4 linked regions of the Astyanax mexicanus genome follow. The protein of the gene in region 4 purifies or fractionates together with the protein of the main gene of each other region. This does not show direct contact. Links are inferred from orthologs where the notes say so. Each region holds a gene or a part of one and is shown on either strand. Other genes may lie near its edges. The genes, in order: gcfc2, paxbp1, atg2b and hdac11.

The links.
Region 1: the proteins of hdac11 (region 4) and gcfc2 purify together in Homo sapiens (co-immunoprecipitation; 3 studies listed by BioGRID and IntAct, counting the BioPlex papers as one, with this or other methods). This does not show direct contact. The link is inferred for Astyanax mexicanus from reciprocal best matches to the Homo sapiens genes HDAC11 and GCFC2.
Region 2: the proteins of hdac11 (region 4) and paxbp1 purify together in Homo sapiens (co-immunoprecipitation; 3 studies listed by BioGRID and IntAct, counting the BioPlex papers as one, with this or other methods). This does not show direct contact. The link is inferred for Astyanax mexicanus from reciprocal best matches to the Homo sapiens genes HDAC11 and PAXBP1.
Region 3: the proteins of hdac11 (region 4) and atg2b purify together in Homo sapiens (co-immunoprecipitation; 3 studies listed by BioGRID and IntAct, counting the BioPlex papers as one, with this or other methods). This does not show direct contact. The link is inferred for Astyanax mexicanus from reciprocal best matches to the Homo sapiens genes HDAC11 and ATG2B.

The regions. Positions count from the first base shown.
Region 1 is NC_064421.1:47,967,279-47,975,281, reverse strand, and holds the start of gcfc2 (GC-rich sequence DNA-binding factor 2), read left to right. Parts: upstream 1-4,999; 5' UTR 5,000-5,055; coding exon 5,056-5,368; intron 5,369-5,754; coding exon 5,755-5,862; intron 5,863-5,976; coding exon 5,977-6,120; intron 6,121-7,214; coding exon 7,215-7,457; intron 7,458-7,951; coding exon 7,952-8,003. Other genes in the region: ywhaqb (tyrosine 3-monooxygenase/tryptophan 5-monooxygenase activation protein, theta polypeptide b), read left to right, coding at 449-612, 714-809, 1,908-1,967.
Region 2 is NC_064427.1:29,837,977-29,845,832, reverse strand, and holds the start of paxbp1 (PAX3- and PAX7-binding protein 1), read left to right. Parts: upstream 1-4,840; 5' UTR 4,841-4,990; coding exon 4,991-5,291; intron 5,292-6,277; coding exon 6,278-6,403; intron 6,404-6,623; coding exon 6,624-6,803; intron 6,804-6,909; coding exon 6,910-7,128; intron 7,129-7,514; coding exon 7,515-7,618; intron 7,619-7,856. Other genes in the region: hephl1b (ferroxidase HEPHL1), read right to left, coding at 472-644. UniProt on the Homo sapiens protein: Adapter protein linking the transcription factors PAX3 and PAX7 to the histone methylation machinery and involved in myogenesis.
Region 3 is NC_064421.1:22,413,479-22,421,260, forward strand, and holds the start of atg2b (autophagy-related protein 2 homolog B), read right to left. Parts: upstream 3,015-7,782; 5' UTR 2,910-3,014; intron 1-2,909. Other genes in the region: GSK3-beta interaction protein, read left to right, coding at 4,992-5,054, 5,608-5,853, 6,353-6,511. UniProt on the Homo sapiens protein: Lipid transfer protein required for both autophagosome formation and regulation of lipid droplet morphology and dispersion.
Region 4 is NC_064431.1:33,444,694-33,452,403, forward strand, and holds the start of hdac11 (histone deacetylase 11), read right to left. Parts: upstream 3,007-7,710; 5' UTR 2,825-3,006; intron 2,001-2,824; 5' UTR 1,971-2,000; coding exon 1,936-1,970; intron 1,417-1,935; coding exon 1,268-1,416; intron 1-1,267. UniProt on the Homo sapiens protein: Responsible for the deacetylation of lysine residues on the N-terminal part of the core histones (H2A, H2B, H3 and H4).

The sequences.
Region 1 (8,003 bases), on a different chromosome or scaffold from region 4:
ACAGTACATTTTGTAAATTACATTATTCTCTGCTGCCGTGAACATTTAGAGTATTTTTCTTGTGTTTCGTTCAGTATTTATTTCGTTTGTTGGTGTATTTAATCATTTATTTATTTATTTCCATCCAAGTAGTTTGCATTATGCAGCAATTCTAATGTTAGGTCAGTGTGCCAGGGTCTGTGAGTGAGACTTTGTGTCTCATTCAGCACCAGAAGGAAAGGAGGAGACACTGCTAATTTTATCTTGGGCAACTGCAGGAGTCTTTGTGTGTGTTGATATGACTCATGCTTCTTACTGGAAGTGTTAAACAGGTCATGATCTTTCTGTCTCTGTGAGGTTTTTATACACGTGGCTGGGGACACTACCACTTATTTGTCAGACAATTGTAGACAATTGACCTTTCTTTCTTTCTTTTTCTTTTTTGCCTCCTTTTTTTTTTGCTCCCCAGCCACCATAGAGAATTCTCAGGATGCATACCAAAAGGCGTTCGATATCAGCAAGACAGAGATGCAGCCAACACACCCCATTCGCCTGGGGCTGGCCCTGAACTTCTCCGTCTTCTTCTACGAGATCCTGAACTCTCCAGAGAAGGCCTGCTCCCTTGCTAAGCAGGTATGTTATACCTCACTCTGCCATGAGTGAGAATTTTTCTCTATTTGCCAGTTTTTTGTTTTTTTTAAGCAGTGCTGTAAATGGCCGTGGTTTGCTTGCAGGCGTTTGATGAAGCCATTGCTGAGCTCGATACACTGAACGAAGAGTCTTACAAAGACAGCACCCTCATCATGCAGCTGCTAAGAGACAATCTCACAGTGAGTAACTCTCTTTGTGTCCTTTTTTCTGGGTTTATGAAAGTACTGAATGTCTAGGACTCAGAATTGGCCAGTTGTAGAAGGATTTTAAATGCTGGTTTCTGTCCCTGGGCTTGATATATTGAGTATTGACTGTCTAAAGCTAATAAGTTGTTTCTTTGGGTCCTAACAAGCAAACAGCAGCACAGTTTGACAAGACCATACTACAGCTTACAGATAACTGTGAAATATCATGTGTGCTTCACTTCTGAATACTGAAGGCTGCGTTCACATTACCAAGCTGAAGTGACTCAAATCAGTTTTTTTTTTTTCTTCAAATCAGATTTGAGTCACCTTCATATGTGCTCCTAAATCAGATACGTATCCGATCCACAGACATGCAACATGAATAAGAACAGTCAAATCTAAACTTGTGCATCTTTTTGCTTTTACACATTAGCAGTAGCATTAGTGCTATGTGCTTCTCTTCTCTCGTACCCACACTGTATCTCTTGGTGCAGCTGTGCAGCTATAGCTGCAAAAAAAACAGCAAAAGCAAACCGCCTGCTCTTTTTTTTTTTTAGTTTAAACTCGTGGAGCTGAGCATGAACTTCAGAGCAGCTGTTTACTGTTTCTACACTCCAGTAAAAGATGCTCCACATATGAGCTGCTAACTCATCCATTTCCCTTTATAAAGCTACGAGTCTCTCCTCTCTCTAATATGAGTTTTTTTTTGTTGTTGGTGAAGAAGGAGGCGTTTATACAGGTATCAATGTGCAGCATGTGAGACGGTGTTTCAGGAACAGATTCTGCGTTCACATTACACACAGATACAGAACACTTACATTTACACTGAATGTGAACCGACAAGATAGACAAAGATCCAAATCTGATCTGAGTAAAAAATCAGATTTGAGCAACGTGGAGAACGTAAAGAGAACGTAGCCTATATAGCAGCAAATGACACTGGACAAGGAATTTTTGAAAGGAACTTTGTGTGTCAATTGTGTGGGAGTTTTAATGATTTAAAATCAGTAAAAGGTGTAAACAAGGTCTAAGAGCCTCAGCTCTGCTTGTTGTTTGACGCTTTCTCTCTTCTTTATTTCCATCTTTTCCCAGTTATGGACATCGGACAACGCAGCGGATGAGGGAGAGGGCGGCGACGGAGGAGAAAACTAAGGAGGAAAACTGATGAGGAGGAAAAGAAAACCTTTTTACACATCTCCATTCCTTATTACTCTACCTTAATTCTTCTAGTAAAGGAAAAAATATTGTCATTCGAGAGCTGTTTATGAAAACACACACACACACACACACACACACACAAAAAAAAAATCCAATCATTGAGTCTTTTCACAGTGCAGCTTTTGGATGAGGAGAGAGAGAGATATTAATGATTAATTGGGGCGAGAGACCTTCCATTCCTTGGTTTGTGTTTGTCCTGGTCTTCTGTTGCGTGCCGTCTCTGCTGTAGAAAAGTATGACTAGCTTTGTTTTATACCAGCGTCTTAAAAAAAATGAGTTAAATAAAAAAGACAACAAAGATTAAAGACTAAAGACATGCATTTCATTAGATTTGTGTTTTTTTTCTCTTCTCAGTTGGTATGTTTAAGACTTGTTGCAGGGATATTTAAAACTTTAGATAACGGTTCTCTCACACGCGTATATTGTTCTTATATATCACCGTATATGTATATATATATATATATCTATATATATATATATCATGGTTGTCAACTGCTCAAGTCAGTTATGTGCTATGGGTAATGCCACTGAAATAAATCCATGATGATTCTCACTTCTTACTTCTAATGATAAAAAAATAAAAAAGAACTCACAAGACTGCCACGTAAAGAAAACTGAAGATACCAATTTAATCCAGTGCGATTTTTACTTTAGGAGAGCGATGTGTGTGTAGTTTGTGGATGCCATCATATGATGCGTTTGCTTAGTGTTTTTGGTAAAATATTTACTCCGCGTTCTTTCTTTCCATAATGCCGTTAACACTTGTGTGGTCGCTTTCGCTTGTCGATTTTCCACGGAGAGGATTTGGAAGCACAGATTTGGTTGTTATGTTGTGAATTGGAGTGAGGTTTAGGACTTTGTTAAAGTAGTAGGAGTGTTGAGGATCTGTAGAACAGTTGTTTGTAGTGACACTGTTGTTACCAATGACACTCCTGATTAGTTTATCACAAACTGGCGGCACCCGAGCCCTCGGTGTATGCGTGTATGGGAGTAAGGGTATTTGGGTGTATGTATTCAGCAGGGCATAATTCCGCACAACATTTAGATTAGAACCCTCTTTCCTAGTTTGAACTTGCTTATTTAGTGTACGTGAGCATGTGTGACCTGTGACATATGTGACCTATATTAGTATATCTCTGCAGCGTTTCACTACTGAACATGGCCAAATCAACTGACGTCTCACTGTTTGGTGATTTTTCCTTTTCCTTTATTTTCCTTTATTTTTGTTTGTTGCTTTTGATGGCTGCTTTAAAAGCTCAAAGCTCACATCCCACTGTGGTTATGATGATGTGCATTTCACCTAAAGCATGAATCGGAACGGGAGTGGAACGGCAGTTCGGCACTTAAGAGAATTAGAGCTAAATAAACGATGGAAGCTGAATTGGGTATCGATCCATGCATGTCTTTGTTTATTAAGTACAAGATGGAATGGGAATTGGCACACGTGCCAAGATCAGGGTCCAGTTTAGAACTTTTCATTGCAGATTTGTGCACGTGTGAGGGTGCGTTGTTGTCCAGTGAGTGTTTGGAATAGATTTGGACCACTTATTCTGTTTTGCTAATCCTCAATTGTAGTCTCCAAAAGCCTTGTGGACATGTTTTACTCCCTGTGTAACACTTATGTAACATTAATAAAATTTTATAAACCAAACTGCTCTGGAGTCTGTGATTTGCCCAAAGTTGGCCAAAGAAATCAGTTTAATCGTTATTCTTTTTAATTTTTTTTATTGCACTCTTCCATAATACTCTTTACAACAACAGACAGGGTAAATTAACAGGTACATTTAAAGAAAATTACATTCAGGATTCAAGAACGTTTTTTCAAACAATTTTTTTTTAACAAGTGAAAAAAGTGTTTAAATGCTTACTTAATCTGAATTTGGATTGGGGGGGGCATGGTTTCTTTTAGTTTTAAGTGTCATTATGTTGTTTGACCACTAGAGGGCGCCCAAATGAATGGGTTATATGGAGCAAAATCAGAATTTATATATGTTTAATAATTTTCATACTGGAAAATTTACAGATTTTCTCAACACAGAACTTTTTTTTTTTTTTTTTTCAGCTTTGCAGGCACAGATTTTATATCTTTTAAACGTGCTCTGGCTGTATCTTCAGCATCAGCTTGCCAAACAATCAGCTCATAGTAGCAAAGAGTGGGTTTTACTGTGTAAAACCCATACTTTAGCAGAATAAAAAATTCTGCATATGGTCATGTTTTTTTTTTTTTTTGTATATTTATTTTTTTTTTATTTTGTTTACTGAAAACATTTTTAAGAAAGGGATTCATATAAAATTTAAAAGCTTCAAAATATCTATGGATATATTGGATTTTTTTTATTTTTTTTTTTTATTTTAAATTAGTAAGTGTGTGTAATTATATAAGTATGAATAAATAAATGTTTGGAATGAGAGTATCTTTTTAGCGAATTTCGTTTTCTGTATATAAAAATGTACCTAAAACTATAGCTAATTTAATTTATATTTATAATTAAATAAAGGGTCATCACAAATATGGTGAATAGTTTACTTTTAATGTAAGAACTAACTTACGGGCTCCCTCTAGCGGTGAAGTCATTTTCTGATATAACCGCGGAGATGTGAAGTTAACAATAGGTTCTCCATAAACCTGGCTTTTAGATAAATATATCAGTTTGGACAAATTTTAAAAAGAGTTTGCTATTAGGGGAAATCCTACATTATAAGCTTGGAGTACTGTGCATTATTGTTTGTGTGAGAGGGAATTATATATTTTTAAATATTAATAAATTATAATATCAAAACCAATATTTTTTCTGACCATATAAATAATAATAACGTGCTATATAGTTTAGAATTTCTCGTGTATCTCGAACACGCTTAATAAAATAAACAAACTAATAAACCGGCTCTGACTCTAGTCTGAGATGAAGAGCTTTTATTTTGAAGTGGGACTTTTTCTGTATGTACCGGAAGTGGAGTATTGGTCGCCCCGGCGCGCTGTGTTCAGGTGTGTGTGTGTGTGTGGTAGAGGTGGGTCAGTAAGATGTTTAAGAAAACGAACCGGAGGAATTTCAGAGCGCGGAGAGCGGAGTCCAGCGAGGAGGAGGAGGCGGAGAAAAGCCCCGCCGCCGCCGCGGAGAGAGAAGCGGAGCCCCCGGCCCCGAGCTCCACACTGATTAACGCGCCCCGCAGAGGGATTTCCTGCAGCTCCAAACCGAGCGCGACCCCTCCCCGCACTGCCCGCTCCGAGAGCCCCGACTGCGTGGAGCCTGAGGACCCCCAGCCGCCCGCCGGTAAACCCCAGACCCCCGGACAAACTCCCGGTCAGACCCTCAGCTTCAGCGGGGAGAGAGACGGTGAGACTCCCTCAGTTAGCGGTGCTGCAGGAACTACACAGACCAACGTTGAATCAACGTTGGATTTGGTGTTGATTTAAAAAAGTAAATTAACGTTGAATTAATGTTGTATTTGGTGTTGATTTTGAAAAGTGAGTCAACAATAAATTATAGTTGACTTTGGTGTTGATTTTGAAAAGTATTAACATTGAATATACGTTAAAAAAGTTTCGAAAATTAATCAACGTTGATGTTTAACAACTGTGTGGAAAATTACAGATGTGTCAAGATAGGACTAAAACTGGCTGAATTAATATTACAGAAGATAGTTGAGCCTGTAAGTTCTGTAATGAGCGTCCAGTGTTAGTTAGTTTTGTAAACTCGAGTGTGTGTGTGTGTGTTTACAGGTGCAGATGAATCTGAATTCAAATTGAAAAGGTCCATCAACAAAGATGTGATTTTCCAAGCTCGCAAAAAGGAACAGTCGCCTGTTAAGTTGACCAAAACACAAGCAGGTAGTATAAGTTCACTGTATAATCTGCTGATAATCACAGGATTTTCTGTAGGCAATTATATTTCTTATTTTTATGCACAGTTTAAATCCTCTCTCTGGTTTTGTTGTTTTTTAGGTGTGAAAGATGTGGATGTTAGTGAGCGCTCTGATAGCACAGCGGGGAGTTCTGCGGAGGACATCCCTCCAGACAGCGAGAGCGACAGTGAAGTTCAGTCTACATCTTCCAGAACTTCCAGCTCTTCTTCAAAACCACAGAAAGGTGCTCATTTCAGTCACGTTTCAGGCACTCTAGGTATTATTGAGTGGTTAAAGGACAATTGAGGCATATATTTTCTGAAGTAACTCATATCATGATCATAATGTATCATCAGATATTAAGGAAAAAATGCTGAGTTTAAGCACTGACAGCTCTTGACAGCAGAGCTTCAGCCAGTATTTTCTTATTAGAACTGTGTGGTAAGTCATGGTAATCTGTGTGGGATGTGGCCTTCAAATCCGCCCACCACTATTCCCCCATTGTAGCATTGGAAATAGAGATGCACGATATTGGTAAAATTTGACATTGTAATATATTTATTTATATATTTTATTATTATTTTTTCTGACAATATGTATATTGCGATATTACCATTGAACTTACATTGAAAGTTTAGAAGTTTTTTTTTTTCTCTCTCCTATCCTAAATAGTTGCTGTTTAAGAGATACTATAACATTTGTGAGAGAACACATCTAAAGCTCTATCCGGACAGGATTAGTATCTCAGGGGGTTCTGGGTAATTTTCTCTTTTATGGGGGTTTTTATCCTCTGTGAAAATAATTCCGTGCAGAACGATCATTTACGTGTTTTTCTCAGACGTCCTCTGAGAAAATTACAGGCTGAATTATCTACTGTTTTTCTCTGAACTCCGTGCTCCTCCGCTAATTTTAGTCCCGTCCGGACGCACATCTCTGAGTTTCATCTCCTCGCAGTTTTAATAAAATAGATATTTGTCCTCTGCCGCACACCGTAATTACACTTTGGGCGCGCGTTTCCACAGAGATCCACGTAAAAAAAAAAACACAGCAAGTGGAAATGGAGGAGCTACTGAACACTGTGATGTCATGTGACAGAGAAATCCTAAAACCTAAAAACTCACTGATCCTCCTGTTTTTTCAATTGCAGTCCGGATGCAGGAGTTTTATCACTAAAGAGTAGAAGTGTGAAATATGTTACACAGACCCCCCCCTGAGAAACTAAACACTAAATTCTCTGACTGTGTGAATATGTGAAAGGGTGTCTCTGGATAATTTTCACATTTTAACATTTTGTCAGGGTAATAATAAATGAAGATGCCTTATATTGTTTTGCTGCAGTTAACATCCCTGACTCTAAGAAGATCCGTGCAGTTAAGGAGCAGAGGAGGAGAGCTCGAGCCCAGCAGGACTACATCCCTCTAGATGAGGATCGGGAAAGCACTCCCAATAGATCAATAGACGGAGAGGGGGACCCGAGCGATGAGCATCGAGACAGTGATGATGAGCCAGATGATTATGAACGCAGAATCGAATTTGCACCCAAATCCAAAACCGTCAGGGAGAGAATGGCTGAGAAAATGGGTGAGATATAAATCAGTTTCTGTGATTTTGCTATTTATAGGTTTATGTTTGAGTAAAGTGAACATTGTTTTATTCTATAAACTACAGACAACATTTCTCCCAAATTCCAAATAAAAATATTCTCATTTAGAGCATTTATTTACAGAAAATGAGAAATGACTGAAATAACAAAAAAAAAGATGCAGAACTTTCAGACCTCAAATAATACAAAGAAAACAAGTTCATATTCATAAAGTTTTAAGAGTTCAGAAATAATCAATATTTGGTGGAATAATCCTGATTGTTTTTTAATCAGAGTTTTTATTTCATGCATCTTGGCATCATGTTCTCCTCCACCAGTCTTACACACTGCTTTTGGATAACTTTATGCTGCTTTACTCCTGGTGTAAAAATTCAAGCAGTTCAGTTTGGTTTTATGGCTTGTGATCATCCATCTTCCAATTTACATTTTTTTAGTATTTGTGTTAAAAATGTTTAGTTTTGTTTCTGTATAGGTGGGAGTTCGAGTGAAGAGAGTGAGTCTGATAGCCAGAAGGAGGAAGACCA
Region 2 (7,856 bases), on a different chromosome or scaffold from region 4:
TCAGTTCTTTTTTTCTTTTTTATTTAGCAAGGTTAAATTTTCACACTCACACAGGCTGACTTCCAGTGTATGGATGGTTTATTAGTATGCCTATTTATTTATTTATTTATTTTTTTTAGATATTTTTAGGCATAAAAAATAGGCAATAATAATAAAGTATGTCTGTACTACTAGACAATATTTTGTTATAATGTGATATAATGTAAAAAAAAATCTTATTAGTATGAAAATCTTACAAATGTAACGATTTTATTCCTTTATATGACATTCAATTTTATAATTACTAGACTATGTTTATGTAATTTAAAGGAATTGCCTGACTGTAAATTGTCTACAGGACTTTATAAGAACAGAACTGAGTGGTAAAACTCTTGTCATGTCTGTGTTTAATTTTTCTGAGGTATTTTTGCTGAACTGCAGTATGTTATTCTCAGTATTTGGAGTGTTAAAGGGGTTGGGGGTGGAACTCACTGGTCCGATGCTGCAGGGCTGCCGCTGACCCGGTTCACTCCCCCCGGGCAGTAATCCCACTCCTCCTCCCGGGCGGCGATGTAGAAAGTTCGGGTGATTCCTGAACTCTGCCCGATAACCGAGCACAGACCCAGCAGACCCAAAATCCAGCAGCAGCTCCCACAGACATCCATTCTCTCTCTGTAACGGTGCAGACTGTGTGTGTGCGTGTGTGTGTGTGTGCGTGTGTGTGCGTGCGTGCGTGCGTGTGTGTGTTTAGCCACTCCCCGCTGGCAGCAGGCCGCTGTGAGAGTGGAGCTTTTGTTAATTGGCGCTACAGATGCTCACACCTGCCTGGCAATACATTATATTAAATTATAAAAAAAATCTATCTATCTATCTATCTATCTATCTATCTATCTATCTATCTATCTATCTATCTATCTATCTATCTATCTATCTATCTATCTATCTATCGTGTCACTATCAAGCCTTTCTCACTAAGCCCATCACCCAGTGCTGGGTGATTTTTGTGAATGGTCCTGTGCCACTAAGAGAAACAATGCTGATAGAGCAGAGGGGAAATCCACCACAAACGTGCTAGGCCCCACAACACAGGAGCTCCAGTTCTGCCCAAGGCCTTCAAATCACCTGATGTCCATGCAGGCCCATTGCAGGCTTTTTTTGTTGTATTGCTCTTTCATTGCAACTTTTATTGCATTATACATTACAGTAAGTGATCTGTGCACAATTGCTGTGATTTTAAAAATAAGCATCCAATATATATACATAACTGTCTCTTGTCCAGAATAATAATGAATGTAATTTATAAAAGTACATAAAAGTTGTATATTCTGGAATGTTACATAATGGAACTGGAATGAAGCAAAAAGATTTTGAGTGAAGTGCATTAACTGCTCATCCATTATGTGATGCTGTTTGTTTTGAGAAATGCCCACACTGTTGTGCAAATATTAATTCTGAAATGAGAAATGCATCAAAGTGACTGAGAAAAAGTATTATATGGCAGCACCAGTATATTATGTCTCCAGTAGAGGGCACTGTTAGAATAATTGATCTATCTATCTATCTATCTATCTATCTATCTATCTATCTATCTATCTATCTATCTATCTATCTATCTATCTATCTATCTATCTATCTATCTATCTATCTATCTACAGTGAGTCCAAGAAGTATTTGATCCCTTGCTGATTTTCTTTGTTTGCCCACTAATAAAGACACTATCCTTCTGCACTTTTAATGGTAGATATATTCTAACATGGAGAGACAGAATATCAAGACAAAAATCCAGAATATAATTTTAAAGAATATATTTTAATTAATTTGTATTTCAATGAGGAAAATAAGTATTTGATCCCTCTTGCCAAACACACTCAATACTTAGTGGCAAAGCCTTTGTTTGCAAGCACAGCGGTGAGACGTTTGTTGTAGTTAACCACAAGTTTAGCACACACACCAGGGGGAATTTTGGCCCACTCTTCTTTGCAGATCCTCTCTAAATCATGAAGGTTGGTGGGCTGTCGCTTGGCAACTCTGACCTTCAGCTCCCTCCATAGATTTTCGATCGGATTGAGGTCTGGCGACTGGCTGGGCCACTCTATGACCTTAATGTGATTTTTCTTGAGCCAATCCTTTGTTGCCTTTGCTGTATGTTTAGGGTCGTTATCATGTTGGAAGACCCAACCACGGCCCATTTTCAAATCCCTGGCAGAGGGGAGGAGGTTGTCCCTCAGGATTGTGCGGTACATGGCTCCATCCATCTTCCCAGTGATGCGGTGAAGTAGCCCTGTACCCTTGGCAGAGAAACACCCCCAAAACATTATGCTTCCACCTCCATGCTTGATGGTGGGCACAGTGTTCTTGGGGTCATAGGCAGCATTTTTCTTCCTCCACACATGGCGGGTGGAGTTGAGGCCAAAAAGTTCAATTTTGGTCTCGTCTGACCACAAAACCTTCTCCCAATAACTTGGTTCATCTTTCAAATGATCATTGGCATACTTGAGGCGCGCCTCCACATGTGCTCTCTTCAGCAGGGGTACCTTTCGGGCACTGCAATATGTGAATCCATTGTTGCGCAAAGTGGTGCCAATTGTTTCCTTGCAAACTGTGGTCCCAGCTGCCTTCAGGTCATTTGCTAACTCCTGCCGAGTGGTTGCAGGACGATTTCTGACCGTTCTCAGCATCATTGCCACCCCACGAGGCGAAATCTTCTTTGGAGCACCGGGCCGAGGTCTGTTGATTGTCATGTTATACTCTTTAAACTTTCTGATAATTGCACCAATAGTTGTTACTTTCACATCCAACACCTTACTAATCTTTTTGTAGCCCATTCCAGCTTTGTGAAGGTCAACAATTCTGACTCTGAGGTCCTGTGACAGCTCTTTGGTTTTACCCATGTTGGAGACTTGAAATCTGTGTGATCTGTCTGATTCTGTGGACAGGTGTTTTTCACACAAGTGATTAGTGAGAACAGGTGGCTTCAGGTCAGGTAACAAGTTGATTGGGAGTGTCTAACTGGTCTGTAAAAGCCAGAACTGCTAATGAATACTAAGGGATCAAATACTTATTTTCACATGAAATACAAATCAATTAATATATATTCCTTAGATTTATTTTCTGGATTTTCTTTTTAATATTCTGTCTCTCCATGTAAGAATACATCTACCATTAAAAGTATAGAATGATCATGTCTTTATTAGTGGGCCAACGAAGAAAATCAGCAAGGGATCAAATACTTCTTGGACTCACTGTATCTATCTATCTATATATACATATACATACATATATATATATATATATATATATATATATATATATATATATATATATATATATATAGAGAGAGAGAGAGAGAGAGAGAGAGAGAAAGAGATCTAGAGTTAGATATTCTTAGCACTTTTACCTATCAAAATGTTCAAAATGTGTTACTGTGCCTGGTATTTTACTTTGTTGAAACCAAATAGTTATTTCTGTGCCAAGAGGTCCTGGGGTCTTAGAAAACTAAAAGGCAGAGAAATAGAAAATAAATAGGGAAAAGACATTTGAAGGCCCTTAAATTCACATTTAAAAACAAAGTTTATTCAGATAGCAATTTACAAAGACATAAAAAATGAATAAATAAAAGTTTCCAAGCCTCTTTTGAGCAAACAAATACAAAAAAGTCCCTGGGTCTTAAGAATTTGACTTGTTTCACTGGATAAAATGGCATATTTGTCACCGTCATATAAAAACTTTAAAATGCAAGTCATTTTGTCCAATTTCACATGGACATCAGACTATCCATTACATGTTATTACACATTGTGTTTTTTGTCCATATTGTTTACTCCTAGTTTGCTTGCATATGTTCCTGTGGATGACTTTCAGGTCGTAATTTGGTACTTTTTTTAGTTGTTGGTGGTACGCTTTTCAGCGTTTCAATGCTTTATGGAAATTGTTACAGCGTTTTTTTTTTTGTTTTTTTTTTCCAACAAACCACACTGTATTCTATTTTAATATATTTATTTGCTTACTTATTCTTAATAAAAAAATTACAAGGAATATATATGTCCAGTAGAATGAGTTGTACAAGTGGGTCATAGATAAAAAATATGTACAATGTGCATAAAAATTATGAGTTTCTTTGATTTTACCAAATTGAAAACCTCTGTAATATAATCAAGATAAAGATAGGTGATTGCAAGCAATTAAACCAAGCTGAACTGCTTGAATTTTTGCACTAGGTGTGGCATAATGTTATTCAAAAGCAGTGTGTAAGACTGGTGGAGGAGAACATGCCAAGATGCATGAAAACTGTGATTAAAAAACAGGGTTATTTCACTAAATATTGATTTCTGAACCCCAAAAACTTTATGAATTTTCTTTGCATTATTTTGCATTAAAGCTCTGCATATTTTTCGTTATTTCTACCATTTCTCATTTTCTGCATATAAATGCTCTAAATAACAATATTTTTATTTGGAATCTGGGGGGAAATGTTGTCTGTAGTTTATAGAATAAAACAATGTTAATTTTACTCAAACATATACCTATAAATAGCAAAATCAGATAAACTGATTCAGAGACTAAAGAGGTGTATATTCGGCTGGGTTGATATTGATATAAACTGATATATAAGCGTTATGCAGGTAGACCACTCCTGCGTGTTTTGGGTGCTTCGTTGCTCTAAATCTGAGTCTGATTCAAATTATCTGTTCGTTATCAAAAGTCAAAAAAGGAATTTAGTTTTAGTTATTTAATTTGATAAATTCAAAGGGACTTAAATTCATGCATTATCGGGTTAAAATAGCGTTTTTATTGTGTGTGTGTGGGGGTGTTTGAAAGCTCTCCGCCAGAAGAAGGCAGCACTGAACCAGCTTCTCCACAGGTCATCCCGGAGCCGCCGGCGAGAAAGCGGCGCTAACTCGTCGGGAAGATGGTGCGAGTGCGGCGGAGCTGCAGCCAGTGTTTTGGCGCCTCAAAAAATAACCCTCATTAGCTCGCCTGCGCCTGTACGGTGCGCTGGTGATCGGGTCGCGATGTTTAAGAAGGCGAGGAGGTGCAATTTTAGGCGGAGGAACGACTCCGAAGATGAGGAGAAAGACGAGCTCCAGCCCCAGAGCGCTGAGCAGCAGCAGCAGCAGCAGCACCAGCCGCCGGCGCCGTGCGGGCCCGGAGCGGGGGGCGACTCTGGCACAGCCAGCGCCGACAGCAACGCGGTCAACAACCACGGAAACGGCTTTCAGTCCAGCGCTTTAAAGGCGGCCAGAGAGAAGAAAAGGAAGAAAGAGGGAAAGGAGGAGCCCAAAGCCAGCCTGCTCAGCTTTAACGACGAAGAAGGTAGCTAGATAGTTAGCTAGCTAACACGTTAGCCAGCAAGCTACAATGCGAGCTTAACAGCTAGCTAGGTTAGCTAACTGTGTCTAGCTGTCCAACTGAGCTAAGCCAGGTAGCTAGCTAGCTTAGCTAACTGTGGCTATAGCCAGCTAACGTTAACACAGAGCACATGTAACGTTAGCTACATGCTGCTAGCTTCTGTCATTTTCTAAATCAAAAAGAGTAGCTAAGCTAACTTTGGTAACTTGAGCTTTCCTGTATAACATTTGAGATTTCGCATTGGTTAACTCAGCCATGCCTCTGTTTCCTCTCTAACATTTAGTAGCTATTTAAGCTAGTTAGCATTAGCTTATTTAGTGTTAGTTCATGTACGATAACAGACTATTAAAATATTTTATTTTGGGGAGTTATAGCTCTAGTTTGACTAATTTGATATGAAGTAACTGAAATAGTAATAGTTAAAACGTTTTTTTGAATGCATTTGTATTTGCGTACGTTAGCTAGCCAGTTAGTTAACTAGCTATCCTAACTAGGTTAGAATAAAGTAAGCCCCTCAAAAATCACAGTTAGTTAACTAAGGTACCTAAATACTACAGGTAAAAGCAGTAACCATTTATGCCTACATTTTAACATTTTAGCGAACTAGCTTACCAAATCCAAGCTGCCTTGAGGAAAGTGAGGGGTGTGTCAACAGTTTGAGTTTTGAATTGTTTTTCAATGCGTTATGGAAATTGTTACAGCGTTACTGTTAAAGTAAGTAGCAAGCAAACGCTGTATGACCGTAATGCCGTAGCTATATATCTTATCATTTTATAAGATCTATATAATGTTTATTTGCGTCTTTCCAAAAAATAAACAGTATGACGCGTGTAAACAGTCGTCATTTAAACATAACATGTTTAAATAATAGCGATGCACCAATGTGGGAATTCTGTGCTGAAGCCAGTATTCGATATAATACTTTTGTATTATTCTCTTTTTTTTCCCAGAGGAAACTGAAGTTTTCAGAGTCAAGAAGTCCAACCACAGCAAGAAGATTGTTAAGCAACTCAAGAAGGAATACAGAGAGGAGAAAATAGTCCATGTGGTGCAGGACGTCACCACGCGTCTTGATGGTGTGTTACGTAGTCTTGGTTCTGTCATACAGAAAAATCATGTAGAAATCATGTAGTATGATCTTGTTTAACATATGTTTTTGTAATTAAATCGTGCACAGATGGAAAACACATCATGCACAAATCTATTTATAGAAAAAAAATCTTTTGAGTTTTGAGTATATTAATATTTGTAGCTAATATATTTTCTGTGTCTGTAATTTGGTTGTGTTTGTTGTAGGTGCATCTGGTCCAGCAATAGTCAAAGATGAGCCAGTGGACAGCAGAGGCAGCAGTGAGCAGGGTGAAGGTGAGATGGAGGTGGACAGTAATGATGAACCAGAAGATGAGAGTGAAGCAAAGCCCGGTGGTGGAGGAGCTTTCTCCGAGACCCTGTCTGCTCTCAGCTCCCTCAGACCAGGTCTGATTTTCTGATGTTTTTTTATGAGAAAGAGAAATGTCAGAACACGTTCTATGTTCAGTTTGTTAGTTTTAGTGTTAATGTGAAACTTCTGCTCTTTCTTCAGGTGAGATCCCAGATGCAGCCTTCATTCACGCTGCACGTAAACGGCGGCAGATGGCTCGTGAGCTTGGAGGAGATGCCCCATTGGTGGAGGCAGAGGTAGCAAATAAACGCCTGGTTCATGAAGATGAGCAGGGTGGCAGTGATGACGAAGATGAGAAGAGGATAGTTTTCAGTGGCGTCAAGCAGAAGAGCCAGCGGCAGAAAATAGCAGAGGAGATTGGTGAGTGTGAAATATCAATTGGTGTGTTTTTAATGTGTTCTTGTCATGTAAATAGATCAGATGCCATACTTGAATATTGAGTGGGAGGGAGATGCATTAAAAGCTGTCAGCTTTCATCTGATGGCATTGAGTGATCACGCTTTGGCCAAATGTGTAATTATTATTGTTTAGTAGCTACTGCATACTGCATTCACTCTAAATATGAAATGACCATAAACCTTTTGATATAAAACCATAAACCTTTTGACTGTAATTTCTAAAAAAAAGGTAGACAGGGGTATTGTCTACTAGATCTAACGCAGGTTAAAATATAGATTTGAAGTGTGATTTAGTGTGTTGTGAAGATTCTGTGCTGAAATGTATTGATGATGCCTGTGATTGTGCAGGTATTGAGGGCAGTGATGATGAGGCTCTGGACACTGAAGGTAATGATGAAGAAGTTAGTCGCTGGGAGCAGGAGCAAATTAGGAAGGGCATTAGCATCCCACAGGTGAGCCCTCCAATCTTTGCACTCTTTCAGCCCGTTCAGCAGCTTAAGGGATCTCCTTGAGTGCAGAAGAATGCAAAACAATCAGTCCTTCAGGACAAGTCTTTATTGTTGTGTGCCTTTTTGTTATACATTGTATGTTTGTGTCTCTGTTTAGATGTAATGATTTAATGCCAAAAAGTACAATAATAAATAGCTAAATGCAGCACATCCATCTGTACAGTTTAACCCCAATTTATTT
Region 3 (7,782 bases), on a different chromosome or scaffold from region 4:
GGTTTTGCTGCAGTTTAAAAAAAAAGTTTTCTGATCAAGTTTGGGATGTGTCTAGAACTTTAGTGGAATTATTTGGCAAAACGCAGGCTTAGCTCTTGGACAGAGGAACAGTTTATTGCAAGGTACTACGTACAACCATCACGGGCATGAGAATACACCAAACTCCTCACAGACACGGGCCGAAGCAAGGACTGAACCAACAACCCCGGGCCTGTGGAGTCGTGTGACATTTGCTACCAGTTCTCTGTAAACTGACTAACTGCCTTAAATCAGTCATGAGTTAAATCATTAATGAACATTAAGTAAACCTGTTTTAGAAGCAGCTATACAGGCCAAAACCATGACACTACCTCCACTGTGCTTGGCAGGTAAGACTGAATGTTTGAATTGTGGTTATTTCTTTAACATTTCCTTAGTATTCCTTTTTCACTCTGAACTTTCCATCACTTTGGGAGAATTTAACCTCAGTCTCACCAGTCCTTTACAGGAGTTTTGTGGCTTAACTCTGTATTTTAAATATTCTAATATGGTATTCTGGTTCTAACGGCTGATGAGTGGCACACTGATCATCTCTTGGAATAATGTTTATATTTCAAAAAAAAAAAATATTTTATTTTTATTTTACACACCTAAACGCTGTAAAGGTTGTAAGTGATGCCACTAACAGACTGACTTTTTTTCTTCACTTCTCTCACATTGTGTTGGTCATGATTTGCTGTGGATTTTCTTAGCCTACCTGCTTGATATCGGTTACTATATAACTAACAGTTTATTTTTAAGACCAATCCCAAATGTTATATAATCACTTTCTTCTAAAGACAGCCCCTTAGCTTTTCTGATGGCTTAAGAACAAATGTGGTCTTCACTGGTAAGCACCAGTTAGCACTTAAACCAAGAGCTGCCTCCAATGAACACCTGGCTAATAAGAAACACATGTGGGCTCAAACAAGAGTGCAATTGTAATTGAAATGTCTACATGTAAACATCAGAAATTAATACCTAAAAGTCTGATTGGCCAGCATTTGGTCTTTAGTATACAGTAGCACCTAAAGAACTTGGCTTGCCATTGCAGTACTTCTGGAAGAGACTGTGTTTGCCCCAACATTAAATGATAAACTGCTTTGGCTGTTACTATCTGGTTTACAGTGGATTGTCAACTGAACTGAAGGGAACTGAAACAATGGCTTGGAAACATAAACTGAAATTGTGTCATCTTATTGCAAGTTAGATCAGGGGTTCCCAACACAATCCATACCATGAGGATCCCCTGCCAGGTAGTTCATTGTAGTGGTTTCCTACAGTAACACACCAGCTTCCTTAAAACAAAAATTATTTGTTATTTAGGTAGCTAGCTGATTTGCTGGATCAGATGTGCGGGGACCAGAGTAAACACTAAAATGTTTAAAATGAAGGAAGTCATCCAGCACAAGTGTTGGGGAAACAGTGCCTTATGCCGACCTTACAACTAATGACCTTTAAGCAGACAAATTTTCAGAGTCGGGATAAAATCACGAGAGTCTTGCTAGAGTCGATTTGCAGTCGAGTTGTGGTGGCATCATCTCGATCATTCAGTGTAAGGTGGTTAGGACTGGAAGTTTTAGTCAGTCTTTTTCTCATCCTGGCGTTCAGATAAAATTAACTGTGTTCAATATTATCGTTCAAATAGTGACATGAACAATGTCAACAATCAATAGGAGAGCTACGGGAAGCCGCACTATTTACAAATGATTTGAAAAAGAACACATTTTGCAGTTAATATGCCTTATATGGTTCTACCTTTAATATGTACAATATATTAAACATATACAAACAAGTTTAATAAACACATTTTGCAAGAATTATGTTCGTTATTGCATTATTTCTATCTAAAACAAAGATAAATGTACAGCAGTGAAACTGTGATTCTTTGCTATACAAGGTATAACAACAAAAAGGGGTAGAGAAGCTTAAAGGTAGAATTGAACACAAAATGTATTCTACTAGAAAAATAAAAAAGAACTAACATTGTGGGAGAACAATAAACTGTTGATGGGTTGTGAGTCTGTGATAAATCACAGTATTGATTAATTTAATTCAAATTTAATTATTTGTAATTTAATATGTAATATGTATTGTATGTAAACTCCACCAGAAGCATGATGAGAAATAATCTCAGAAAGAATCTAGTTGAAGTCTTGCAAATAGTCTTTGCACAATCTTAGTCTGTGACTTGTCTCAGTTGTGAGAGGGTGTCAGACGTTAGTCTGTTAAAAGTCTATTTTTTAGAGTCTTTTCAAACTCGTCTAGTGTATGGACAGCATAAGATAGCCAGTAAAACAAAGATCCATAGGTTCTTTGTAATTTGGCTAAAGGATAAAAAGCATGTGTTTATAGTGTGTGAACCGTATGTGTTAATGTTACTTAGCTAAAACTGTGTGAGCCAACCAACAACATTAAGATAGATAGCTAGTTACCTCACATTAACAGACTCTGCTCTCTGACAGACAGACTGACAACCACCCTGCCAGGACTGAGCGGGGTTTGCGTAACTAACAAGACAGACAGCTGTCCTGCTAATCTGCTAAACTGAGCCTTTATTATTTAAGCAGGTAAAATTCATAGTTTAACTTGGTGTCAATTCCAGGAAAGCGCGTCTGCTCATACACACGTTAACGAGCAATACAACCCGACGCTAAACGCGCTCATTTACTAGAGCTCTTTCAGCTAGCTAACCGGCTAGCTAACAGCTTTAGCTTCCCAGCTAGCTAGCCTCGGTTATATAGCTACAGTATAAAGCCTTCAGGGGAAGCTCAGCTAAAGTTAAGGAGCTCTGCGTGGTGAGACAGAGGCTCCCGGCCAAAAGGTCTGAAGAAATGAGTTAAAACAGCATTAAAACACCGTCAGTAAGAGCCCAGAGCAGCATCACTCACCTTCCTGCTGGATGTAGCTGAAGGTGTTTACAAACACTTTCATGACTGCGCACTCTTCAGCTCAGCTGCCCTGCTGCTCTCTCACACACACACACACACACGCTCTCACACACTTACACAGGCACAGGGAGTGTTCAGGATGATCAAATCTGCGCTGGCCAGGCGCAGACTGTCGAAAAATATGAACTAAAATTAACATACGACAGTCGTTATGGCTATTTGAAATTAGCAATGCTATAAGAATATAGTTTATAATACAGTCAAGCAGCAGAACCAACCAGAAACGAACCTAATTCAACATTTTTTAAATACTGATTAAAAAGACAGAAAAAGTTTGAAGATTTTAACAGTCAAAAATTGTCAAGCATACAAAAGACAATAATAAGACTAAACAACTATACAATATTTATAGCCTATAGTTTTTATTAATAAAAAGTAAACTTTTTACTATAGCTAAAAAATCTCATCATTTGCCCACTGTGGATGAGCCCTAAAACATGGAGTCACATTTTATTTCATTTTTAGATTTTTTACTTTTTTTTTCATTTGTATCATCTGCTTTTCACCTATCGCTAGCAATGAAGTCAGCTGCTGCTGAGGTTACCATCTAGCCAGCACACTCAGGGAAAAGCAACTTGGTTCCAATACATCAGCTCACAGATGCCTTGTGCTGCAAAATTACCTCAGGAGTGATATGGGAGATAGGGAGGCAGATAAGAGGCACTGTCTACTAGCCAACTCTGCTTGCTCGGACTCTGGCTGCTGATGACAAGCAGCATAACCAGGATTTGAACCAACAATTTACTGATCATAGTAGTCAATTGTGCTCACTTAGACTCTGGCTGCTGATAGCATCACATTTTATTTTGACCTAGGCAAAAGGAGAAATCCAGTGTAAAATGGTGAAGTGAAACATGATAATGACTACAAACTTTTGTCGAAAAGCCCATCTCCGTTCACCCCTAGCATTCTGAAATGACAGCCCTGAATGCAGCCCTGAAATTTATAACCATTCTGAGTGCCCCAACATTTAAAACGATGTACTGGGAACTTAGTGACTGGTAGGTTATGAAATAGTGATTTATTTCCATGGGCAACGCTATGGCCCTATTGCTACCATTGTAAGCCTGATGAAAGCATCAGCTAAAAAGCATTATATTTCAGAAGGTTCGGGGCGAACGAAGGTGGGCTATTCAACAAGTGTTTGTACTTGTTATCATGTTTTACCAAGTCCATTTCACACCAGATTTCTTCTTCACCAGATGTCACATCTCTTGACATAGGTCATTATCCTAAGGGGGTAGATTCAAATGATCTGATCAACTGAGGGTGTATGTGATTTTACCACAGGATATTTTAGGATGGTGAAGAAGTCTGAAATGTACTCAGCTCATACAGGTGAGCTTGGCAATAAGGCATATGAAGGCTCTGTTCAATGAGTGTTTTCTTTTTCATGAGAGTGAGAGAGAGGGTGTGTCTTGGATTGTGTAACAGGCTGTGGCATTCCTGATTGCATACTGCCTAACCCTGATGATTTAGGAAAATCTCACTCTGCTGAGCATGCTGTGCAATGCTTGGGTTAGGTGGGCCACATTTTGGCAGTAAAAAAATAAGTGCTCAGTTTTTTTCAACATCATCACAAATAACACAATTATGTGTTTCAGGACCAAATTGTTGCTAAATGAAGTGACATTTAAGGTTTTAAAGCGGGCTTTTGTGCTTTTGGAAAATTTGTGCTTTTGGAAATTTGAGGTATCTATTACATTACATTTAATTTAGATTAATTTTGAATTTAAAATGGCTGTTCAAAATTACACATGACATTAGGTTATATATAAACAATACAATTTATTGATAACGCATGTTAATTAACTGAGAGTATGAATGTCAATGTTTAATGACTACTCGGTTACTCAAAATTGCATAATATTGCAATAACGAATTTGTGCTTGCCACACACACACACACACACACACACACACACACACACACACACACACACACACACACACACACACACACTCACTCACTCACTCACTCACTCACTCACTCACACACAGCGCAGAATGAGGCTGGCTGAAGATGAACACACCCATTTTTGCCGGCATGAGCCGGAAGTGTACCGCTGAACTACCCCCGGAGGAGGTGAGTAGCTGACCAAATTAATAACAAATGCCTAGAAAAGGCTTTAAATCCTTTAAATTTGATACATTCTGTTTTAATAAGAGTTCCCCCTTTAAAATAATGTTAGCCGTGTTGTAATAGCAGTAGTTAGTTAGGTGTTAGCTCGCAATCTTGTCTTAGAGCGCTCTTGTCTTAAATGACGCAGCTAGCTAGCATGAGGCTAACGAGCGCATTAGAAACACTGCGAAACAGAGCTAGTAGCTAACCTGGCTAATATTAACCTTTTCTGTCGTCATGGAAACATAACTACCTAGTTTGTGGGTCACTGTTAATGTTAGCTAGCTAACTAGCTATAATTCTAGTATGACCTTAGTAGACTTAGCTGCTGGTGTCAGTTAGTTAACTAGGTTAGCTTAGCATACGTTAGCCAAACAGTAAACTGCATTACGTCAGTTTTGTCTCATCAACCTGCCCCTGCTTCCACCACCCACCACCTAATCGAGTAAACACTCAGCTGGCCAGATTAGCTACCTAGCAGGCTAGTTAACTGCTCAGCCTTGTTGTTCTTGCGTAGGGGATGGAAGTGGACTGTCAGCCAGAGGAACTGTCGAGGTCCTCGTACGAAGAGCGCTGTGCTGATCTCGGGGGAGTTAAAGACATGAGGCTGGAGGCTGAAGCTGTGGTAAACGACGTGCTCTTCGCTGTGACGGACATGCATGTGTCTCAAACTCTGTCCAACGGTCTGGACGTGGCTTACATAAACGTGGAGACCAGAGAAGGAAACCGCTACTGCCTTGAGCTCACCGAGGCGGGGTTAAGGGTGAGTGGAAAAGAGTTTGTCTTTCATATCTAGGGATTTTCCACTAGATTTTGGAACATTACTGTGAAGTCAGGATGTAAGCTAGATGATCACCACTCCTTTTCAGCTCCCCATCTTCCTAACTGACAATCATCCCACTAGGTATTAAAACAAAGTGGAAGCGACTGGTAATGAAACCAAAATGCTAGGGCTCATAGTGCTTGATGTAGGCCTTAGTTTTTCTCAAGAACAGTAGAGCATAGAGAGTTTCATTGAATTGGTTTCCATGCCTATCCAAGCCTCACTCACCAACAACCAAACAAAAAAATTCAGGAGGCGTGTGCATACTTTTGGCAATATAGTGTATTATTAGTGTCCAAAGAAACTGAAGCTAACTGCTCATTTATAAGGGAGTGTCCACATACTGTATATTTCTACATATAGTGTAAGTTACCTGCTCTGCACTGTGTTTTCACTCAACTTATTTGTTGTACAATCCCTCTCTTTTTTTGTTTTCTAGGTGGTGGGCTACTCCTTTGATCAGGTGGATGAGGATCTGAGCAACCAGTATCATGAGACTGTTTACTCTCTTCTGGACTCCCTCAGCCCTGGCTACAGAGAAGCCTTTGGAAACGCTCTGCTTCATCGACTGGAAAGGCTCCAACAGAACGGACAGTGACGAATTCAGCACCAAACCTGGAGTTTGGCTTAAGAGTATCTGTGCTAGCTAATGGTTACATGCTGCAGTTCCGTACAACAGTTAGCTTAAAGCATCAGTGGTATCCTTTCCTATCAGTGAGACCTTATTGCCTGATTTTACTTCTGTGTTTTAACACATGATGGTCATATACGTATTAGCTGTACATTTACTTTGATGATGCTTTTATTATGTTTTAGGGGATGTGGTGTAAGATATCAAGACTAGGGTCTAGATCAAGACTGACATGATTGGCCAGAAACCCTGGTCTGCAGTTATTTCAAGTATTAAACATTATTCAATATCACCTGATCAGCTAATATTATGTCTACTAAATAGATGGGCCAAAGTATGTTACTGCTGGTTGTTCAATTATTTTTGACTAAATTGGACCTAAGCATGATTTTACTAACAAAGAGATTCCTTGGGTTCTTTAATGTGATTATTTAGAATTATCTGTTAAACTGGCCTTCAGACTAGCAGCTGTCTGGAAATGTATTTTGATCAAACTTTTATTTAGAAAGATTCAGCTTGTACATCCATTTCTCCATTCAGCTGCATTTCATACCATGAGAAATTCATGTTGGTTCAAGCTATTTGATTTACCTTTGTCCATGTTTATCAAATATACTTTTAAACAAAGCAATGTTAAGAATCACAGTTCTCTGGAACTAAAGCAGGAGATGTTGGAAATGTTTGTTTGAATTTTACTGAGTATGGCAGTACAATGACATGTCTATTATTTCACCACTTTTATATAATATACTTTTGATTGGCGTTTTGATATATTTGTAGATTTTCTTTCAACCATTACAAATTAGACTCAGTTTCTTCTGTATTCCCTTTGTAGAACAATCTTTTATGGAGACAGGCTTTTAACCTGCACACAGACCTTTGCGCTGAACTATGTGTTCTGTATGTTGCACAGAGTCACACTTAAGGGAAGAGAGTAGCCATTAACTGTGATGTTCACAAGGGCTACTGAAACATACACATGGTTACATTCCATATTTTCTTTTCTTTAAAGTTTGAGCTTTATATAAGGGGGAGAAAAACGAACATGACATTTGGTGTAAATGCATAAACATGAAAGGATTTTCCTTGTGTTTTTATGAGCTTGTTGAAATTCAACCTGCATTTGTAACAGTTTCGTATTGCATACAGCTTTTGAGGCAGATGATAATGTGCTGTTTTGTCTGCATAAGACCGGTCAACTGACTGACACTCAGCATCTCTGCAAATCCTCACGAAAC
Region 4 (7,710 bases):
TTAAATGAATAATAAAACTTAAAAAAAAGAACAAGAATGAAAATATAAAACATTAAAATAAATCATAAAAATTAAATAATAATAAATAAACAAAAAATAATAAAAAATACTATAAACAAAACGATCACAGGCTTTCTGATGGTGTAATAAATAGATAACAAATAAAGCCAGAAGGATCTGAGTTTTAACTGCTGAGTTTTTTTTTATCTGAGGCTCTGCCAGAGCCGCACTCTTCCTCTGACCTTCGTCTTTTACCTGCTACTTCTGCTGCTCCCGCCGGGCTTCTGCTCCCCTCATTATCTCCACCTCCCTCCTCCACCTCCCATCCATCCCTTCATCTCTCCCTCCATCCTTAATCACACAGCCCCTCCCCCACGGACTCCCGTAACTTTGGGTCACGAGTGTTACAGTAGGGTTATAAAAACGTTTCACCAAAGACTATAGTACTCTACTACCAGACGCAGCAACAGCTTCTTCCCTCAGTCCATCAGACTCCTCAACACACTGAGAACTAGAGATCCCTATTTTATCATTTTATAGGCGAGACGTCAACTGCTTTGCACCGTACAGCTTGATTTAGGGCAGTGTGTCACTGTGTCTTTGCTATCGTAACAACGGGAAAAGTACACCTTGCACGACTAAAAAAAAGCAAACAACAGTCATTCACAGTACTAATACTCGTAATTGATCATGGATGTGATGATCAGTGTTGCTCATCATTCTCTTTAAGAGTAGAACCAGGTGAGCTCTGACTTTGGTGCATTGCTATTTTAACGGTGCAGCTACCTGGACGTGTCCAACAAACTCTTCTCAGCAGAGGAAACTGAGCTGCTGGTTGACGCTGTGAAGGAGCTCCAGCAGCTCATTTATTACAGAACAGCAATGTTATTTTTTTTTATTTACTATTCTGTTTATTGTTGATGCAAATGTTGGGTTTGTGCACGGCTGCATTGCCAAGATAGCGATGAACGTCTGACTGTTGCCGTCTGTCTAGGTTGTATTCAGTCAGTGGAGCTCCTGTGTTTTCTGTTACCAAGATAAACAAGCAAAACTCCAGAAATGTAAGAAAGTCTAAATAAATCCTTAATTTCTGATATTAAATTATTTAGGAGTATTGTATAGAATAGTATAGTGATAATATCATATTGTAAGATGATGTCCTATGATTCCCACCTCTACTCAGTGATGATTTGAGCCTTTTAAACTCAAAAAGCCCTAAAAAAAACTCAATATGTCAAAAAGTTAAAAAGTAAAACAGCAGTTTTACCTTTTAGAAAGTGAATGACCTTCCCCCATTTCCCAGCATCAAAGGGATGGAGCTTCTCCAGACCCATGAAGGTGATGTTATACTCCGGAGAGTAGACGATAGGCAGACATGTCGGAGGAACCTGTACATACAGCTCCGTCCGGTGTGAACTAGAGAAAAATGGAACAATGTGATGTATATTTTAGTTTGGTTTTAGGTATTGATTTACAAATTTTATTGTATCACTGTAATTTCTTAATATTTAGATTTATTTATATGAATAAATCTAAATATAAAAAATAAAATGTATATATATATATATATATATATATATATATATATATATATATTTGTATAAATATTTGTATTTGTATAATTTGCATATGTTTGTGCTATTTACAAAATGAACCTCACATATTTGTTTTTATATTTACTGCAAAAAAAAGTTTCAAATTATACAAATTAAATAATTAGAAATACTAACTCCCACTATCACTTCACACATCTCAAATATAATGGTGCTATATACACATTTTGTACATATTAATAAATTACACAGCATAACTTTACATTACTTTACATTACTACAAAATTAAGATAAATTTGTTGGTTTGTTTTTCAGTTGCAACTAAAGTAAATTTAACACTTTAAACTGGGTGTTTGTAGTTCATTTTTAGTTTATTACTCACCCCTTGTTTCCTTCTGTAGTTTCTTTACTGGACATGTTGATCTCTGCACCCCAGCATTATTCGACCTAAAGAGATAAAAAAAAATAATAATAATAATACCTGTTTAATTATATGAACTTAGTGCATTTCTAAATAATAATCGTCTGTTTAGTTGTTGTTTAACGTTACATAAACTACATTTTCCACAATACTCGGCTACACCTGAGCATGAGCGGCTCGAATTTCAGTTAATAAATGCAGAATTATCAAATGAACAAGAAAAACAATACTACTACTACTACTACTAATAATAATAATAATAATAATAATAATAATAATAATATATATTTTTTATTTATAGAGAATGCATATACAAAAACCAGCATTTAAACACAACCAATTATTAAATAATTAAAATTGGTAAGAGTTACAAGATAAAAGACAAAGCAGATTCACTTAATTTAAGTTGAATAAATGGTAGGAACAAATAAAAGTAAGAAGAAAAAAACTAAATAGAAATAACATTAAATAATTAAATTAAATAAAGTAAAATACGGTGTCCGGGTAATATTAAGATCGAATAATAAGCAATATTTTAAGTTTAAGTCGTTAAAATAATAGATAAAAAGTGCACTGAACCTGAGCCTTAACAGACGCTCTCACTCTACACACTACATTTCCCACAATCCTCGGCCCCTGCTGCGCATGCGCGGCAGCAATTTCAGAGACGCAACATTTGGTGTTTAGGAGAATATACAGTGCTCTGGTTATTTCGCGTTAATGTAAAGATCGCGGGCGGTCTGAGCGGGTTTAATACAGTCTGATTTATTAACTGAGGTTATTAATTTAATAACTCTGAGCGGATAAAGCGGATTATTAGAGAAAAAGCGCTGTAAATACAGAAACTCACCTGCTGGTGTTTATATTCTACAGCGCTGCTGCTGCTGCTGGAGAACCGCAGATCTCATATACAGGTTTATATATCTATATATCTGTATCTCTATATATCTCTCTATATATCTCTATATATCTGTATTAAACTGATTTATACAGACTGACAGAAGCGCTCGAGCTGCTTTTCCTACCGTCCCATTTCCGCACTCCGCGTGATGACGTCACACGCCGTTGACAGTGCACAGCTGTGCACATCTGCACAGATTCAGTAAAAATCCTATAAAATATATAAAAATAGCTCTTAATTTCATATTTACTGCTGTTGTGCTCTGTTTTAAGCGACACACATGACTGAAATATAGAGTTGGGTGTCTGATTTGAATCAATATTATAAATAATATATGTATATATTACATTTTTTTTTAAATTTAAAATAATTAAAATTGTAAAAGGTACAATATCAAATTATAAAAGACAAAGCAGATTCACTCAATTCAAATGGAATAAGAGATAAAGAGACCAAAAAAATCATGAAATTAGGAAAAGAAGTGTCATAAATGATCCCTATAAATATATTATATAGATTAAAATCAGACACCCAGCACTATATTCCAGTTGTGTATATAGCATCATCCTTATTAGAATATCATTGAAAAGAAATTCAGTTCAAAATTATTATATAGATGTATTACACACAGAATTATCGATTTTAAGTGTTTATTTCTTATGTATCTATTATATAATATTAATTAAAATCAGACACACAACACTATATTCCAGTCAAAACTATGCATAACTATATTCCATTTTGTTTGTATATAGCATCATCCTTATGTGTATAGTAGTATTGCATTCAAAAATAGAATAAATCAGTTCAAAACTATTATATAGATGTATTAAACACACAGTGATCTATTTTAAACATTTATTTATTTTATTGTTGATTATTGATTATGGATTACAGCCAATGAAAACCCAAAAATCAGTGTCTCAGAAAATTAAAATATTTTATAAGACCAATTGGTACTTTTGGTAAGCAGTGTGGGCAGTGTGCCAAATCCTGCTGGAAAATGAAATCTGCATCTCTATAAAAGTTGTCAGCAGAGGAAAGCATGAAGTGCTGTAAGATTTTACTTTTTTTTTTCCACTAACAAATGCATATGTACATATATACATACATACATATATATATATATATATATACATGTATCGGTCAAAAGTTTTAGAACACCCCAGGTTTCTGTTGTTAGTTTTTAACACTTTAACTGCTACAGGGAGACGTCTGGCTGACCCACATGGAAACAGCAGCTTTAGCCTTTAGCTCAGATTAACATGATTAAGGACTGAGTTTCTGGAAGTTTCAGCAGAGAGGAGAATTAGAGTTAGAATAAGAGTTAATCTGACAGGAGAAGAAGAACAGCAGTAATAAAATCATTGATGATCAGATAAATATTTAATAATAAAAAAGCAGATTAATCTTTGAAGAAGAGAGTGAAGAAGAAGGATAATAATAATAAAGGATGTATAGAAACAGATGCAGAACTACAGTCTGTAGTTATAGAAGGATGCAGCATGGTATTTTAGTTTATAAAGGATGTATTTTTCCAGTTTTTTAGCAGTGTGTCTCTCAGCGGTTCGGGAGGAATGTGACCCGTTGTTTGCTTTTCGCTGTGCTTTGTGATCCAGTCCCACGCCGGCTGCCCCCAGCGGTGCGGCTGCTATAAATAGCAGTGTGTGTGTAGCACTTGCGTAATGATGATGTCGCTGCAGAGGCTTGGGGATGATGTAAGGCTGGATCTGCTCTCTGATTGGCTGCCGGTGTTCAGGTCAGTGAGTAGCCCGAGAGCGAAAGGCATCTGCTGACCATCAAATCAGAAAACACAACGTTCATCACAACAGTTCTTAAAGAGAAGACGAGTTCAGAGCTCTGAGGCTCATAAATATATATTAATATATAAATATATTTAATATATAAATGAATCAGTTTCTCTGATTGTGCTATTTATAGGTTTATGTTTGAGTAAAATGAACATTGTTCAACATTGTTTTATTCTATAAACTACAGACAACATTTCTCCCAAATTTCAAATAAAAATATTCTCATTTAAAATCGTTTATTTGCAGAAAATGAGAAATGGCTGAAATGACAAAAAAAGATGCAAAGAATGCAAAGAAAATAAGTTTGATATTTATAAAGTTTTAAGAGTTCAGAAATAATCAATATTTGGTGGAATAATCCTGGTTGGTTTTTAATCACAGTTTTTTTTCATGCATCTTGGCATCATGTTCTCCTCCACCAGTCTTACACACTGCTTTTGGATAACTTTATGCTGCTTTACTCCTGGTGCAAAAATTCAAGCAGTTCAGTTTGGTGGTTTGATGGTTTGTGATCATCCATCTTCCTCTTGATTATATTCTAGAGGTTTTTAATTCGGTAAAATCAAAGAAACTCGTCATTTTTAAGTGCTCTCTTATTTTGTTCCAGAGCATTATATATACAATATATATAATTAGACCTTTTAGGTTTAATTTAAAGAGTTGACTAAAGATATCCTATGAAGCATTTAGGAATTATAACCATTTTTCTACAAAGCCTCAAGCTCGGTATGAAGCACATCCTCCTAATCCTCTGTTAAGCATGGTGGTGGTGGTATGATGGCATAGGCGTGAATGGCTCCTGTTGGCACTGGGTCACTAGTGTTTATTGATGATGTGACTGAAGACAGAAGCAGAAGGAATAATTCTGAAGTTACAGGAATTTACTTTCTGCTCAGATTCAACCAAATACTGAAAGTTGATTGGTTTTCGATTTCTTGCTTAAGACAAAACTTCAGGTAAAAAAACCCACAAACCAGCTAAACAACCAAAAAATGCTGCAATAAAACCCTGGAAAAGCATCATAAAGAAGAAACGCTGGTGGAAACCTGGTTTTTGGAGATGATCTTCATGGGTTCCAGACTTTTTCTTGCAAAGGATTCTCAACAAAGTATTAAAAATTAACATTTTATTTATGGTGAAGTTCATTCGTCCAATTCCGTTCAAGCCCCTGAAATGAGGAGGCTTTGAATAAAAATGGTTATAATGCTTATAATTTGATCTCATTTGTTTCATTTTAAGTTTTTTTCCAGTTTGATGGCATGCAGAGCTCAAAATATGAAGATTATGTCAGTGTCCAAATATTCATGGACCTCTATTTGTAGATACGGTATTACAGGGGTTGGACAATGAAATAACTGATTGTGGTGACGGACAGTTCTGGTGGAAACAGGAGAGTTGAGGTGCACATTGAATTCTGCGTGATTTGATCAGCCGTGGTTTTATGTTTTTTGGATACAATCCGGGTTAGCACCCGAACATCCCTTTCAGACAGCTTCCTCTTACAGCATCCACAGTTAATCCTGTTGGATGTGGTCGGTCCTTCTTGGTGGTATGCTGACATTACCCTGGATACCGTGGCTCTTGATGCATCACAAAGACTTGCTGTCTTGGTCACAGATGCTCCAGCAAGACGTGCACCAACAATTTGTCCTCTTTTGAACTCTGGTATGTCTCCCATTATGTTGTGTGCATATATATAAACTCCACCTCCGTCTGTATCATTAACTGTATTAATGCTGTAATAAAAGACTCTGTGAGTTGGAGGAGGAGGAACTCACCGACACTGACCGGTGTAATGTGGAGCATCTTCACGCTCCCACAAAGCAGATTCTCTCAGCAGGTCCTGCTTTGAAGCGAGAGCAGCCCGGCCCGGCAGCTCCTCAGTATAATGGAATACATTAGCATAAATTGAGGTCAGCGCTGTCGATTTTCATTTGTAGAAATACAGTCTTCTCCTTCTCTTTCTCAGCAGGAATAATCGACCCTGTCCCCAGGTGAACTTAATTAATGCCCTGACATTCAGGATCTGTACTGTTTAATCAGCACAGTGCTGCCTTTAGGATGCTCGTCCGGCGCTGGGCTGGAATACGTGGATTTTCTGTACTGAATAACAACAACTTACCTTCTGACGTGGTGAATATTTATATTAGAATAGCTCTTAATGCAATGCAAAGGATAAAAAATAAAATTAAGCTGACATAAACAAAAAAACTAGACAAAACACTGTATATCGTCATTGTCCAAATCTCCAAAACAGCAACTTTACAGGAGAGAGAAAAGACCTTCTATACTTTCAATGGAAGTCAATGCAAAAAGAGTTTATTTCAGGTCATTTTGAAGTATTTCTGTTGGTCCGTTCATCAAAAAGAAATTTTGGCACAGTGTGAGGGACAGTTTGTCTGTTCAAATTATGTAGTAAACTAAAAATCGACCAAAAATGGACATAAGTATTTTTTTTTATATAGAACAGCGACAATATAGTGGCTTATGCACTTTTTTATTTCTCTTTTTATTTGCTATTTGTGCTAATTGGCAACTGATTTGTGTAAAAAAAAAAAACAACAAAGAATGATCTATTTTATCTTATTTTTACAGTAGTTTCTGAGAAAAATTATGTCCACATATGTGGACTTTAGCTTTATATTTCGATAGAACACAATGAAGTCACAATTAGTAATGATTTTGCAGAAGATTTATTTTTTATCTTCATTTAGCATTTTTTTTGCCTGGGTGCAAAACAAAAGTAGAAACAACAGTTGTACCAAACATAAACATTTACTGTGTTAAGTGTTCATTTAAATTTTTAAACGTTACAAAAATCAAAACTGTAACGTATTGAACTCTTCTGCCACCACTAGGTGACAGTATCATGGCCTCATATGAGGACACCAGGCCCTCGTAGAGCAAAATAATTGGTGGTCTAGACAGCCCAAAATGTGATGTGATGTCCACAAAAGTATTTTAACCCACCACAAAGTAGCTGTCTGTCCCTGTCCCTGCTGAAGAAAAGCTAATCCCCACAGC